Linked DNA regions of Sus scrofa. The protein of the gene in region 1 purifies or fractionates together with the protein of each later gene. This does not show direct contact. Links are inferred from orthologs where the notes say so. Each region holds a gene or a part of one and is shown in the gene's direction. Other genes may lie near its edges. The genes, in order: CAPN1, CAPNS1 and CAST.

Region 1 (4,339 bases):
CATATAAATGGAATCATACAGTGTGCGGCCTTTCGTGCTTGGCTTTTTATCCTTAGCATCTGTTTTCAGTCCATGATAATGCATTTACCACATTTTGCTTATTCATTCATCAGCTGATAGATTGCTTCCAGTTTGGGGCTGTCATGACTAAAGCTACTCTGAACGTCTATGTCCATGTGTTTGCATAAGCATATGTTCTCTTGGATCTATGAGGAGGAGTGAAATTTTTAGGTTGTCTGGTAACTCTGTGTTTAACTTTTTGAGGAACTGCAAACTGTTTTCCCAAGTCCCAGCCCTGTTTTACCGTCCCCCTAGCCATGTTAGAGAGTTCCAGTTTCTTCGTATTCATGTTAACACCTGTTATTGTCCAGTTTGGTTTTTTTTTATTGCCATCCTATTGGGTTTGTAACTGGTATCTCACTGAAGTTTTGATTTGCACTTCCCTAATGACTAATGATGTTGAGTGTATTTTTAGGTATTGATTGGCCATTTGTATATATTCTTGGAGTGTCTATTCAAATAGTTTGCCCGTTTTTAGATACAGTTGTCTTTTGGTATGTTCTTTACATATTTCTTTATATATTTTGGATACGAGTCTTATGAGAAAGATGATTTGCATATGTTTTCTCCTATTTTGTGGGTTGTCTTTTTGTTTTCTTTTTTGTCTTTTTGCCTTTTCTAGGGCCGCTCCCACAGCATATGGAAGTTCCCAGGCTAGGGGTCGAATCGGAGCCGTAGCCACTGGCCTACATCACAGCCACAGCTACACGGGATCCGAGCCACGTCTGCGACCTACACCACAGCTCACGGCAACGCCGGATCCTTAGCCCACTGAGCAAGGCCAGGGATCGAACCTGCAACCTCATGGTTCCTAGTCGGATTCGTTAACCACTGAGCCACGACGGGAACTCCGTCTTTTTGTTTTCTTGATAGTGTCCTTTGAAGCACAGAAGTTTTTAATTTCGATGGTGGCCAGTTTTCTGTTTTCTCTTTTGTTGCTCATGCTTTTGGTGTCGTATCTAAGCATCCATTGCCCATCCTTGGAGTGCCTGTGGTGGGTCTCCAGGGTAAGGACCTGACATAGCATCCCTGAGGATGCAGGTTCCATCCCTGGCCTTGCTCAGTGGGTTAAGGATCTGGCATTGCCAAAAGCTGCACCTAGGCCGCAGATAAAGTTTGGATCCTGCGTTGCTGTGGCTCTGGTGTAGGCCAACAGCTGCAGCTCCGATTTGACCCCCTAGCCTGGGGACCTCTATATGCCGTGGGAGCGGCCCTAAAAAGGAAAAAAATTTTAAAAAGTTTTGCATATTCTGTCTAGCAATTGTTTGTTTTAGTCAAGAGGGTTGTTCCGCAGCTGAATCACTAAACTGCCAGATCTGCAAGTCCCTCTCAGGCCTCCTCTCAGACCCTGTGCTCCTTCCCCCCCTCCTCAGCCATTGTCCACACAGCAGCCCCCTTCTAAAACTTCAATCCAGGAGTTCCTGTTGTGGCTCATGGGTTAATGAACCTGACTAGCATCCGTGAGGGCACATGGGTTCAATCCATTACTGTGCCACAGCTCCAATTCCATCCCAGCCTGGGAATTGCCATATGCCGAGGGTGTGGCCCTAAAAAAAAAAAAAAAAAAAAAGACAGAAAATAAATAAATAAATATAACCTTAATCCAGTCACATCCCTCCCCCGTGCAGTCCTGATAGGGGCTCCTTTTGCTCTTTGATTCAACCCACACTTCGTGCCACTTCCCTGGTCGCCCGTGCTCACTGGAGCCCCATGTGTGGGTCTTCTCTCCTGCTCCTGCTTCCCAGGGATTTCCCCTTCAGGTCTCAGCTCAAATGTCATCTCCTCAAAAATGCTTTTCCTGCCCCACTCCAGCTTGCTTTCTTTGTAATTGGTTTTTTTTTTTCCGTCTTTTTAGGGCCGCACCTGTGGCATATGGAGGTTCCCAAGCTAGGGGTCGAATTGGAGCTACAGCTGCCGGCCTACGCCAGAGCCACAGCCACACAGGATTGGAGCCACATCTGCGACCTACACCACAGCTCACGGCAATATTGGATCCTTAACCCACTGAGCGAGGCCAGGGATCGAACCTGCATCCTCATGGATGCTAGTCAGATATGTTTCCGCTGCGCCACAACGGACACTCCTCGTTGTGATTGTTGATTCACCTGACTTGCTCAGATTCTGCCTCCCCTTGTGGCATGTGAGCTCATGAGGGCAGGGACCATGTGTGTCCCCACTCCTTATCTGTCACTTGGCACACAGTGGACTCTTAGTAATAGTTGTTGAATGAATGAATGAATGAATGAATGAGTAGACACATGGGGGGGAAGATTTGGTCGGGGGCTGCCTGGCCACTCCTCTGATCCCTGCTTCCCCACCTTCTGCAGCCACCTTCTGGGTGAACCCCCAGTTCAAGATCCGGCTGGAGGAGACGGATGACCCAGAGGACGACTACGGGGGCCGTGAGTCAGGCTGCAGCTTCGTGCTCGCCCTCATGCAGAAACACCGCCGCCGGGAGCGCCGATTCGGCCGGGACATGGAGACCATCGGCTTTGCCGTCTATGAGGTGAGCGGCTGGATGGATCCAGCCAACACTGCCGAGAAAGCCCGCCTCCTCGCCCACCACAAGCGAGCTCCGCCAGGGGGCGCCAGAGAACATGGCAGCACCTGCCCATCCTGAGCTCCTGAGGTGGGCAGCCCTGTCCCAGGGCTTGGGGAGGCACCTGCTGAGGCCCTCTGCCAAGATTGGGGCAGCCAGGGTCCTAAAATGCATCCGGTGAGGCGGCTGGAGGGGAAGGAAGATGCTTGGCTGGAAGAAGGGAAGATTCTGGGATTCCTCCCATCCTTAGAGGCCAAAAGGGTACCCTTGGTCAGTGGGCTCTGGCTTAGCTGACACCTGGGAGGCAGCTTCTGGCAGACAGACTTTGGCTGAGCTTTAGGAAGAAGTGGGCAAGTGGTCTGCCCTGGAGGAGTGGTGAGCTCCCTGTCTTGGAAGTATGTAAGCAGAGGCTGGCCATGGAGGGCCCTCCTTCACGGGCTATGTCCCAGGCAGAAACTTCTTGACCTCCCTGGGGATAAAGGATGGCCACGGCCTTGGCCCAGGCCCTGAGGCCCTGGCAGCAGATGTCCCTGGGCTGGAGGACGTGGCAGGTGGCTGCCCGGGGGCCTCTCCGAAGTCCAGCTCTGATTGAGAGCTGAGGTACGGGACATTCCAGGGACAAAGAGGACCCTTCGTGGGCCTCTCTTCTGGGGTCCTGGGACTTTTCTCTAGCATGAAAACAGGTCTGGGTCAACCCTGGCCCCACGACCAGGACCCCATCACCTGGTCCCCTTATCCCATGACTCTCATCCTGAGAATTCAGAGGCCCTGCCCAGCACACGCCCTGCCCCCTGCCCTGGGCAAAGCAAACATCTAACTTTCCTCGTCTCTCCTGACAGGTCCCTCCGGAGGTAGGTGTGCCATCTGACTCACCTGGATTTACACACCTTTGAACGCACCTGGCCCGATGGTGCTCAGAGCGGGCAGGACTGCGGCAAGCCCACACATAAAGCGCTGAGAAGTCACTTCGTTTTATGGCTCACAAAGTACCCCCATGCCCCTGCCCACTCTTCAGTGGGCAGAGCAAAGATTGTCCTCCTGGGGGTCAGAGCAGGTAGTAGGTAAGGGAGCTGGATTTGAACCCTGGTACTCAGAACACCACATACCCGCAAGGCTCTTCCTGTCTCAGTGTTTCTGCTGAGTAAGTGCTGGCTGAGGAGCGTGGCGGTGGATGGGCTGAATCTTCTGGACCCTTGAGCAAGTTGCTTAGGCACTCAGCCTCAGTGTCTATAAAATGGGCTGTCATGAGCACTAAATGAGGTGCCCCCCTGCAGTGCCTGGCACAGGGAGGCTCCAGCTCTGAATAATGCGTTATTTCATGGGGTCCATTCACCTCCACTGTGTGCAGTAGGCAGGGCTGTTACCCCCATTTTACAGATGAGGAAACTGAAGCAGGGTGACTTGTCAGGGTCAGGCGGCTCGTGGGGGGGCTGAGCTGTGAGCCAGCTCTGCAGCCCCTTGGTCAGAACTTGGAACCTGGGGTCTGGGTCTGGGTCTGGGGGCAGCTCCTCAGGGTGGGCTGCTGAGCAGGCAGCTGCAGCCCCCATTCCCTCCTCCCCTCCGGCCAGCTGGTGGGCCAGCCGGTGCACCTGAAGCGGGACTTCTTCCTGGCCAACGCCTCTCGGGCCCGGTCCGAGCAGTTCATCAACCTGCGGGAGGTCAGTACCCGCTTCCGCCTGCCGCCCGGCGAGTACGTGGTGGTGCCTTCCACCTTCGAGCCCAACAAGGAGGGCGACTTTG
Region 2 (4,961 bases), on another chromosome or scaffold:
GAGCAAGACCAGGGATCGAACCAGAGTCTTCATGGATACTAGTCATGAAGTATCCGTTAAACACTGAGCCATGACAGGAACTCCTGTCTGTTGCGATCTTGTTAATATTCATTGTATTACGGAAGAGAGAATGCATTAGGTTAGTGCTTAAGAGTACAGGCTAGGGAATTTACCCAGAGTCAGTTTACTTATTTGTAAAATGGAGATAACATATAGCATCCGTCCCATAGGACTGGTACGAGGACATGTGAGCCGATATATGTAAGGTACTTAGTAGGGTGCTTGGCAGTTAGTTTTTTGCTTTGTTTTGTTTTTGTTTTTTGGCCGTGCTGGCAGCATGTGGAAATTCCAGAGTCAGGGATGGGACCCACACCACAGCAGTGACCCAGGCCGCTGTGATGACAATCTGATGCATACAAAAGAACTCCCCAGTTATTTTTTTTATCAGTATTATCTAAGGATGAACAAGAGATGACCCAGGTGGCCTCCAGGAGGAGGGAACACCACAGGTACAGACACAGAGGCTAACAGCTTCTTCTTCTTCTTCTTTTTTTTTTTTTTTTTTGTCTTTTTAGGGCTGCGCCCATGGCATATGAAAGTTTCCGGGCCTACGCCACGGCCACAGCAACCCCAGATCTGAGCCACATCCATGACCTATGCCACAGCTTGCAGCAACACCAGATCCTTAACCCACTGAGCAAGGCCAGGGATCTAACCCGCATCCTCATGGATGCTAGTTGAGTTCTTAACCCACTGAGCCACAAGAGGAACTCCAACAGCTACTGTTTACTAAACATTTACCACAAAATTCTCGTAGAGGCCTAGAAGTGGGGACATGGAAACCCTTGTTGGCATTTTACAGATTAGAAAATCATTGTTTAAATCACTGTTATGGGACCCCAAATTATTAAGAGGCAAAGTCAGGATTCAAACTCCAGCTGAACCAGCTTCCCAGGAAGAGGCTAAGGGCTGGACAGCCAGCCAGTGTGCCTGAAGGAGCCTTGAAAGAGTACTGGGCGCTCACAGGTTGAAGGTTGCAACTAGAGAGCAAGCAAAAGGGCTCCAAGGGTTGCTTCAGTTGCCATTTTTCCTTTCAGTTGCATTCCCCACCCTGCCCACCACCTGACCTTGGGAACATCAAGCTTCAGAAACCAGGCTGTGGCCCCCAGCCTCTTCCAGTGTCTGGACCCTCTTTAGAGACTGGAAGACTGAGACCAGGTAAAATGATTTTTTTTGGTCCATCCAAGTAAAATGATTCTGGTGACCCTGACCCAGGGGGTAAAGGGGTGCAGGTGGAGGAACAAAGAAGTCCCATTCCTGGGAGTAACTGGGCTGCCATCAGGGCTGTGCCTGCAGGGTCCCCCCACACAGATGAGGGCGCTTGTCCTCAGACTGTGAGCAAAACAAAATCCGGGGTCTCCAGACGCTGTCTGTCGCGACAAGGCTAGGATAGGGTACAAGTGCCAAGAGTCCCAAGAATCCCTATCCGAGCAGACCAAAAACATCTGGAGGCTTGGCTTTGGGACGACAATTCACACTACAACATTTAGGCTTGGCGACTGTTCGGGTCACCTCGGAGTCCTGGTCCCCGAGTGCCTGCATTGGGGACCGAAAGGCGTAGAGAAAGATTTCCAGTCTATGAACTCCGGGCGGCGTCAGAACTGCGGCTCAGGAAACGCACAGCGAATTCTCAGCAGCCGCACCCTGTTACACTGGGCGGGGCCAGCAGGCGCCTGCGCAGTTTTAATACCGGCTCTAGGACCGCGCGGAATCCGTCCGGGCCGCCCTGCATAGCCTAACCCTGCCCGGGCCGCCTGAGTCACCCGCCCCGCCCTGCGGAGCCGGACGCAGCCGGAGGCCCAGGAGCTGCACAGAGAAGCGGACCCGCGGACGCGTGAACGAGGCGGTGAGCGCCCAGTCCGGACTTCCCCCCTGGTCTCCCTAAGCCCGGCCCTGGCGGCCTCCAAAACCATAGAGATCCTACAATTTTGGTCTCAGGAGTCCCCTAGACCCATGTTCAAACCCCTAGATCTGTCTGGCCCCAGTTATCCCGCCCCGGAGACTCTTCCACCCTCCCTCTCAGGTTCTGAAGTAGGAGCATGGATTTGAGAGGTAGCCGGTAAATTCAGCTCTGGGTGCGGCCTCCAGAATCGCGATCCTAGATCCGATCTCAGTTCTAATGGGGACTCCGTTATCTCGGACCCCGGGGCTCACACCCACAGTCTTAGACCCGAACCCACAGACCCAGCAATGACACTGTTATCTCGCTGCTGTTTGTACCTAAACCCGCAAGCTTACATTCTGGCTTCCCTAAATCCTGGCCCTGGGGCCTCCAGGCAGAGAATTTCTGATCCACGCCCTGATCCGCCCCAGACCTCTACATCAGTTTTGGGGCTCTGAATCCCAGATTAGAGCGCCTGCTTGGGGCCCCCATCTCGAGAACCCCACTTGACTTGGCTGGTGTCTGGTGCTTAATGATGCCTATGCGTATACTCAGTCCAGGGTCCTTCGAGCCAGATATGGACTCTTTGGACCGGGAAGAGGTTTCAAACCAGATAATCCGACTTTATGCCACCCATCCGAGACACCCTCCCCCAGAAGCCCAGGCCCTATCCTGAATGAACCCTCGAGCCCCAGTCAGAGGCTTCTTATTACTTCCCCCAGTCCAGCAGCCAGAAATGCGTGTATTTGGGGGGGAAGGGGCGGGCTTAGGGACGGGACAGCAACTTGACTCCTTTTTTCTCCCCCTCAGGAATCTTGAGTCACAGCCATGTTCCTGGTTAACTCGTTCCTGAAGGGTGGCGGCGGCGGCGGCGGGGGAGGCGGGGGCTTGGGCGGGGGCCTAGGGAATGTGCTCGGAGGCCTGATCAGCGGGGCCGGAGGCGGCGGTGGCGGCGGCGGTGGCGGAGGAGGCGGCGGCGGTGGTGGCGGAACTGCCATGCGCATCCTGGGCGGGGTTATTAGCGCCATCAGGTAAGGCGGGGCCTGCAGAGGGGCGGGGCCTGGAGGAGGAGGCTGGTCCCGCAAGAATAGAATGGGGTAACTTAGACCCGGACCCGGAACATTAATTAGGCTGGGGCTGGTCTGGGCCAGCAGACCGGCCTTGAGGAGGCCGACTGTATTGAGTTCAGGGAGCGGGACTTGATATGGGAGTAGTTTTGACTGTGGTGGGAGACACAATTTGATGGGCCAGGTGGGGCTTAATGGCCAGGTGCAGCCTCCTTCCGCTAACCTGGAGACTAACGTTAAGGGGGCGGAGCTACTGAAGCCGGGTGTCACTTCACTGGGGCAAAGCTTACCTAGGGGCGCGGCATAGCCCTCGTAGGTGCGTTCAGGGGTGTGCCCAGAAGAAGGCCAGGCTTAATGGGATAGGGGAAAAGGACTTGAAGGGACAGGGCCTGGCCAGGAACTGGCTGGATTAAAATAGAAAAATGTCCTGAGGGAGGTAGGGCGGGTGGTCGGTAGGGGCCTAGTTAGTTTTGGCCCCTGAATGTGATCCCTTGAAGGAGTGAGAACTCACGGAGCTGGGGTGGGATCTTGGGAGGACGCAAGTGTTCAGAAGCCGTGGAGATGGAGTAGGTTCCTAGACAGGTGAGACCTGAGGAAGGTGGGCCCTGGGAAAGCTGGGGCCGGGCTTCTAGGAAGTATGCCCTCGAAGGGGCTTTGTCTTTTGAGAGATCCGCCACTGTGTAGGGGGCACAACCAGGGCAGCAAGGATAGGGACAGGTGAGGGCAAAGACTGATGAGGCAGGCGGAGGGAGCTGGTAGGTAGGCTGGCAGGCTACGCGGTGGGGCTTGGTGGGCTGGGTCGTGGGGCTGGAGCTGCCAGTTGGAGGCCCCGCCCCCTGGCTCTACACTAACTTCTCCCGTTTCCCTTCAGTGAGGCGGCTGCGCAGTACAACCCCGAGCCCCCGGTAAGCCGCCCTTCGCACTCAAGCCGCCCTTCGCAGTCGGAGACCCCTTCTCATTCGGAGGCCTTTTCCAGCACCCGTCCTTGTCCCTCTGAAAAAAGCCCCACACCTCTCCTTATGAAATTTATCTCATGAAGTCTCCCCCTTGTCATGTCCCCAAACTTAGTGGTATCCGCTCCCTAATCACTGGCCACCTCTCATTCTCTGGTCACTCAACCTCCCAGCCCACTCTGACTTTCCCATTTAGGGCTGTCCTGGCCAGGACACCCCTCTCCCTTCCTGCTCTGAGATCTCCTCCTTCTGCAGCCCCCTCGCACCCATTATTCCAACATTGAGGCCAATGAGAGTGAGGAGGTCCGGCAGTTTCGGAGGCTCTTTGCCCAGCTGGCTGGAGATGTAAGTAACCTGGGGTCCCCAGACCTGTCGGAATCCTCCGGTGCCTTCCCTTGGGCTGCCCTTTACGTGTACAATCCTCAAGTTCCCATCCTCCCTCATGACACGCACAGACCCCTTCCAGTCACCCCGACCCATTCCTAACTTTTCCCCTCAGGACATGGAGGTCAGTGCCACGGAACTCATGAACATTCTCAACAAGGTCGTGACCCGACGTGAGTGTCCGGCGTCAACACATGGGGCAGGCTTAGGGGCATGGTGGCTGGGGCAGCTGTGATCTCTGACCTCTGATTTTCAACCTGTTCCCCACAGACCCTGATCTGAAGACTGATGGTTTTGGCATTGACACATGTCGAAGCATGGTGGCTGTGATGGATGTATCCTTGAGGGCAGTCTTGGGGAGGCCTTGGTGAAGATGGGATTTCCTTCCTTCCTTTTTTTTTTTGCTGTTTAGGGCTGCATCTGTGGCATATGGAAGTTCCCAGGCTAGGGGTCGAATTGGAGTTACAGCTGCTGGCCTACGCCACGGCAACATGGGATCCAAGCCATATCTTCGACCTTCACCACAGCTCATGGCAATGCCAGATTCTTAACCCACCGAGTAAGGCCAGCGATCAAATCCGAATCCTCACGGATACTAGTTGTGTTTATTACTGC
Region 3 (4,339 bases), about 96 Mb from region 1:
GGTGAAAAGAAGTTTTCAGATTAAATTAACATTTAAAGAATTGCTCAATTGAGTCCTGGGCCAGGTGGTGAGTGGTGGTGCCAGGCAGAGCGGGAGAGCAGAGAGCTGCCCCAGGGGGCACTCTTGGGAGGCTTTGTGGTGGAGGGACCCTCAGGAGCGCCAGTCTGTCAGCTCAGGGCAGGAGCTGGCCATTGTCGCTGTCACAATGCTGCTGCCTCTGCTGTCACTTCCTGTTCTGAGTCACTGGGGAAGTTGAGTCTCGGTGACTCCTAGCAACTCCCTGAGTCTGGGACCGTCCTGGTCCGACATGGGCCAGTTTCTCTCTTCGACTTTCTTTGAGGGCTCGCCTGGCACAGTGTGGCAGGACACGCTTTACGAAGGCGAACACAAGGGAGCAGGGGAAGTGGTCCTTGTCCTCCAGGACCAAGTAATGTATTGTAATGTATCGGGAGGAGGGGAAACTTTAGTTACTACACAATGCGAGGCGCACAATGTCTCAAGGAAAAGGGTGCTCCTGGCAGGACCTCAGGGGTCCACACCCAAGGGCTGTGTGGCAGCCACCCAGCCAATGGCGCTTCTGCCTCAGGCTATTTCTAGAGAATTAGGGTGGTTTAATAAGATGGTAATTTGGGAGGGGCAAGTATAAACAAATCGCAAAACAAAAAGACTCGTAGATTGACTAAAATCTTACATTATTTATTAAGCAGTTTGGATTTAGGGATGCATATCAGTGTATTAAATTTCCTCTAGAAAATTGGCCAACTCCTAAAATTTGAGCAAAAAAGAACTTTTCTGCTCCTTCCACGAGTTTCTACTTTTCCACTCATTTCCACTAGTTTAATTATCTAAAATGTATAAAGAAGATCTTCCAATCCCTTGGGACCTTAAGCTGAATTTTCAGTATCTGTTGAATTCACTCTTCCTGGATGGTCTGATGTGATGGCTCATATAGTCATGAGAGGCTGTAGGAGTCCATGGCTACTCCAGCATGCTCTGCACCAGATAATGCTTCAGAAAAGAGGTCCATGCCTGGTTGTCATTGTTATAATGTATCATAATGTAAGATATTTATTCTGTAGTGATACCTCCTTATTCATCTCCCCTAGTCTGGTATTGTTTCAATTCAGGGGATGTTTGTTTTCACTTGCTACTAAATAGAAACCACAGCATTTAAGGAATGTAAAGATAAAAGAGGAATAGAAAAGATCTAACTGTGCATGTGTGGCTCTCACTGACCACAAGTCCAAGTGAAGAGAACAGTCCTATACAGGTGACCCTTTCATAAAGACTGTTTATAGCTGGAGACCTCACAAATCCCTGAATTGAGGAGTGCCAGTATATCATAGGACTTCCTCTATATCCTGCAGAGGAATATAACCAGAATTTTTTTTTTTTAAATCTCTTCATCCCTTAATGATAATTATATTTCTATAGAACAATAAAATTATAACTCCAAAGCCTAGAAGAGTATTTGGCTTATTAAAACGATTCAGGAGTTCCTGCTGTGGCACAGTGGGTTAAGAATCTGACTGTAGCAGCTCAGGTCATTGCAGAGGCATGAGTTCAATCCCCAGCCCAGCACATTGCCTTAAAAAATCCAGCATTGCCGCAGCTGTGGTGTAGGTTGCCGCTGTGACTTGGATTGAGTCCCTAGTCCAGGAGCTTCCATATGCCATGGGTGTGGCCATGAAAAAAGTGTTCAATACACATTTTAAAATTAACCAATCAACTAAGCATTCAGTGGAGAACCATAGTCTTAGGCTGAGATTTAGATGGCAGTGATAGAGTGAGCTGAAATCAGCTAAGTACTTACCTCCACACATTCTTTTGTGCCAGGAGTTCCTTGATTTGTGATTTAAATCCTTGCCTCGATATAGGTACAAATTATTAAGCTCCATGGAACTTTGCATTACGCAGCAGTAGTTTAAAATATAAACGTTATATCCTAGAAGCCAGAGATCTGCTATGGACCTGCGCTTTTATTTCTTCTGCGTTTGGTTGTTCATGATTCAGTAGTCCACTGACATCTTGGTGTTACCAAAGGGAGTTCTTTTAAAAGAAGTAAAACCACTTATCTGTGGATCAAGCCAAGATTGGCGATGGGCTGCTTCACGCTTTTCTGAATTGTTTTGGACATTCATGAGAATTGGTTGTTTTTTTCCCCCTTAAATAACAGCATCATTGAGTAAGACTGATGTCTTTAAAGCAATTGCAACTAACTTGTGCACTGTGTTTAACTTTCTTCAAAGGGTATTTTATTTACTTTTCTTTGGTGATCTTATAAATGAGTGAGCTAGATAAGGATTCTTAATAGCCCCATTTTGCTGCTGAAGGAACCAAGCCAAAGAAGGTCTTAAGTGGTTTCCCAGGGTGATAGAGACCAGGCAGGGGCACCTCCCCAGGACTCCTGGCTGTGTTGTTTTCTCTGTCACCCTTCACTGCCTTCCTCCTAGCTGCTCACAAGGCACCTTAATCTGATTTGGTCTTCTCTAGGACACTCAGGGGGTATGCAGAGTGATGTCTTATTTTACATGTGTTATCCAAATGTGTTTTTTTTTCCTCCTCTTTCATCAGGCAAAAGCCAAAGAAGAGAAACTAAAGAAGTGTGGTGAAGATGACGAAACGGTCCCGCCAGAGTATAGATTGAAACCAGCCATGGTACGTTGTCAGCTACGATGCATGACAGCAGCTCAGTCTGCTGCCTTCACATTACGTTTTGTCCTGTCTGTCCCATGATGCTTAAGGACATGTCTGTCCTAGTTCAGATATTAACTCTGAAAACCCTGAACCCTTTATTCTGTGTCCTCTGTAGTGGGACACTTCAAAAGAGGGCTTTCTAAGTAGTGACGATGTGGTCATTAATTCAAGTGTTTCATCTGTTAACCATGCTTGATACAGATCTTTAACTTTAAAGGACAAATTTGGGAATCATATTTTCTCTATCAGCCATATGAATAGAAGCATATAGATCTTCTAAGTGATAGATAAATATACAGTGATTTACCAGCATCCTCAGTGAAAGGTGGTTTTGTCGTTATTGGTTTTGGTTTGATGTGAGGATGGTGGACTTATTCCTGTAATTATATTTATAGTTAAGCTTTGAAATAATGCACATAAACAAATGATGGAAAATAGTTGTGATGCTTATGGATGCAAAGTTTCTCCTTTTATAGGAACATTCTAAATTGTGAGTATCCAAAAAGCTAAAACAGTTTTATAGAAATGAGACCTACAGAAACTAAAGCAGTTTTACAGAAATGAGACCTACCAAAAAGCTAAAACTGTTTTATAGGAAAGAGATCTACCTCTTCACCCTGAATTGGAAAATGGAAACTTTTTTTTTTGTCTTTCATTGATGTCACTGCATCTTTCTTGCCAAAGAACTTTTTTAAAAATTCTGTTTCCCTGTCCCAAAAGATGGAAATTTCTTTTAAAGAAAAGTAATTGCATTATATTTAATAGCATTTAGTCTCTTGATTTTTCCAGTTCAACTCATTCTTCTGATACTTTATTAAAAATTAATTTGAAACAAACTCATTCAGGTACATGGGAAAAAATAATATCTCCTCTTATATCCTGGAATTCCTAAAACAAACTTAATGGGATAAGAAAGAAAAATTTTCTATTTCGTTTTAAGTGAATTTTCAATTTCGTTTACAGGATAAAGATGGAAAACCACTCTTGCCAGAGGCTGAAGAAAAACCCAAGGTTAGGATAAGGTTTTTTTTTTCTGATACTTAAAAAACAATAGAACTATAAGGTATAAATTGAGACAATATTGGCAGAGACTTGCATGCCAGCCTAGTATTAAGAAGAGAGGAACTTCTGAGAGCAACACTTGGATTCTATTTCTGACTCCTTTTTACATATTTTCCTGACTATTTGCCTCATGAATTATCCCTACATGGTTACAAGTTTCTAGGTAATGTTTATTGAATATTAGGAGCTGATGTCAGGAGGGTCCTTAAATTAGGTTTTTAGCACTTGGTTTGATCCCAATCACAGCACCAAAAGCTCAATGATTCTGTACTGCCTTTATGTAATATGATGTTAACCAGCATAGTTACCTGTCAGGATGACACTAAGCAGCTATATTCAGTAGTCACTTACTGTGTGCCTGACACTGTGCTAAATGGTGTTCGTGTGCTACCGTTTTGAGTCCTTGCTGAATGAGGAGGGCACTACTATTACTCCCATTTTATAGATAAGGCAATTGAGACTTGAGTTCTGTTAATAACCCAAAGTCATACAGCCAGCGAGTTGCAAGGCCAGGAGTCAAAACTAGTCTGTTCAGCTTTGGGGTACAGCTTCTGGAGTACTTAACGTTTCATCATAGATT

Evidence for each region.
Region 2: the proteins of CAPN1 (region 1) and CAPNS1 purify together in Homo sapiens (co-immunoprecipitation; 4 studies listed by BioGRID and IntAct, counting the BioPlex papers as one, with this or other methods). This does not show direct contact. The link is inferred for Sus scrofa from reciprocal best matches to the Homo sapiens genes CAPN1 and CAPNS1.
Region 3: the proteins of CAPN1 (region 1) and CAST purify together in Homo sapiens (co-immunoprecipitation; 4 studies listed by BioGRID and IntAct, counting the BioPlex papers as one, with this or other methods). This does not show direct contact. The link is inferred for Sus scrofa from reciprocal best matches to the Homo sapiens genes CAPN1 and CAST.

What each region holds. Positions count from the first base shown.
Region 1 is NC_010444.4:7,002,595-7,006,933, reverse strand, and holds part of CAPN1 (calpain-1 catalytic subunit), read left to right. Parts: intron 1-1,729; exon of another isoform or gene 1,730-1,839; intron 1,840-2,387; coding exon 2,388-2,566; intron 2,567-3,438; coding exon 3,439-3,450; intron 3,451-4,167; coding exon 4,168-4,339. UniProt on the Homo sapiens protein: Calcium-regulated non-lysosomal thiol-protease which catalyzes limited proteolysis of substrates involved in cytoskeletal remodeling and signal transduction. Proteolytically cleaves CTBP1 at 'Asn-375', 'Gly-387' and 'His-409'.
Region 2 is NC_010448.4:45,509,553-45,514,513, forward strand, and holds the start of CAPNS1 (calpain small subunit 1), read left to right. Parts: upstream 1-1,857; 5' UTR 1,858-1,906; intron 1,907-2,752; 5' UTR 2,753-2,770; coding exon 2,771-2,973; intron 2,974-3,880; coding exon 3,881-3,914; intron 3,915-4,217; coding exon 4,218-4,307; intron 4,308-4,461; coding exon 4,462-4,519; intron 4,520-4,616; coding exon 4,617-4,681; intron 4,682-4,961. UniProt on the Homo sapiens protein: Regulatory subunit of the calcium-regulated non-lysosomal thiol-protease which catalyzes limited proteolysis of substrates involved in cytoskeletal remodeling and signal transduction. Essential for embryonic development.
Region 3 is NC_010444.4:103,339,619-103,343,957, forward strand, and holds part of CAST (calpastatin), read left to right. Parts: intron 1-2,574; coding exon 2,575-2,658; intron 2,659-3,660; coding exon 3,661-3,708; intron 3,709-4,339.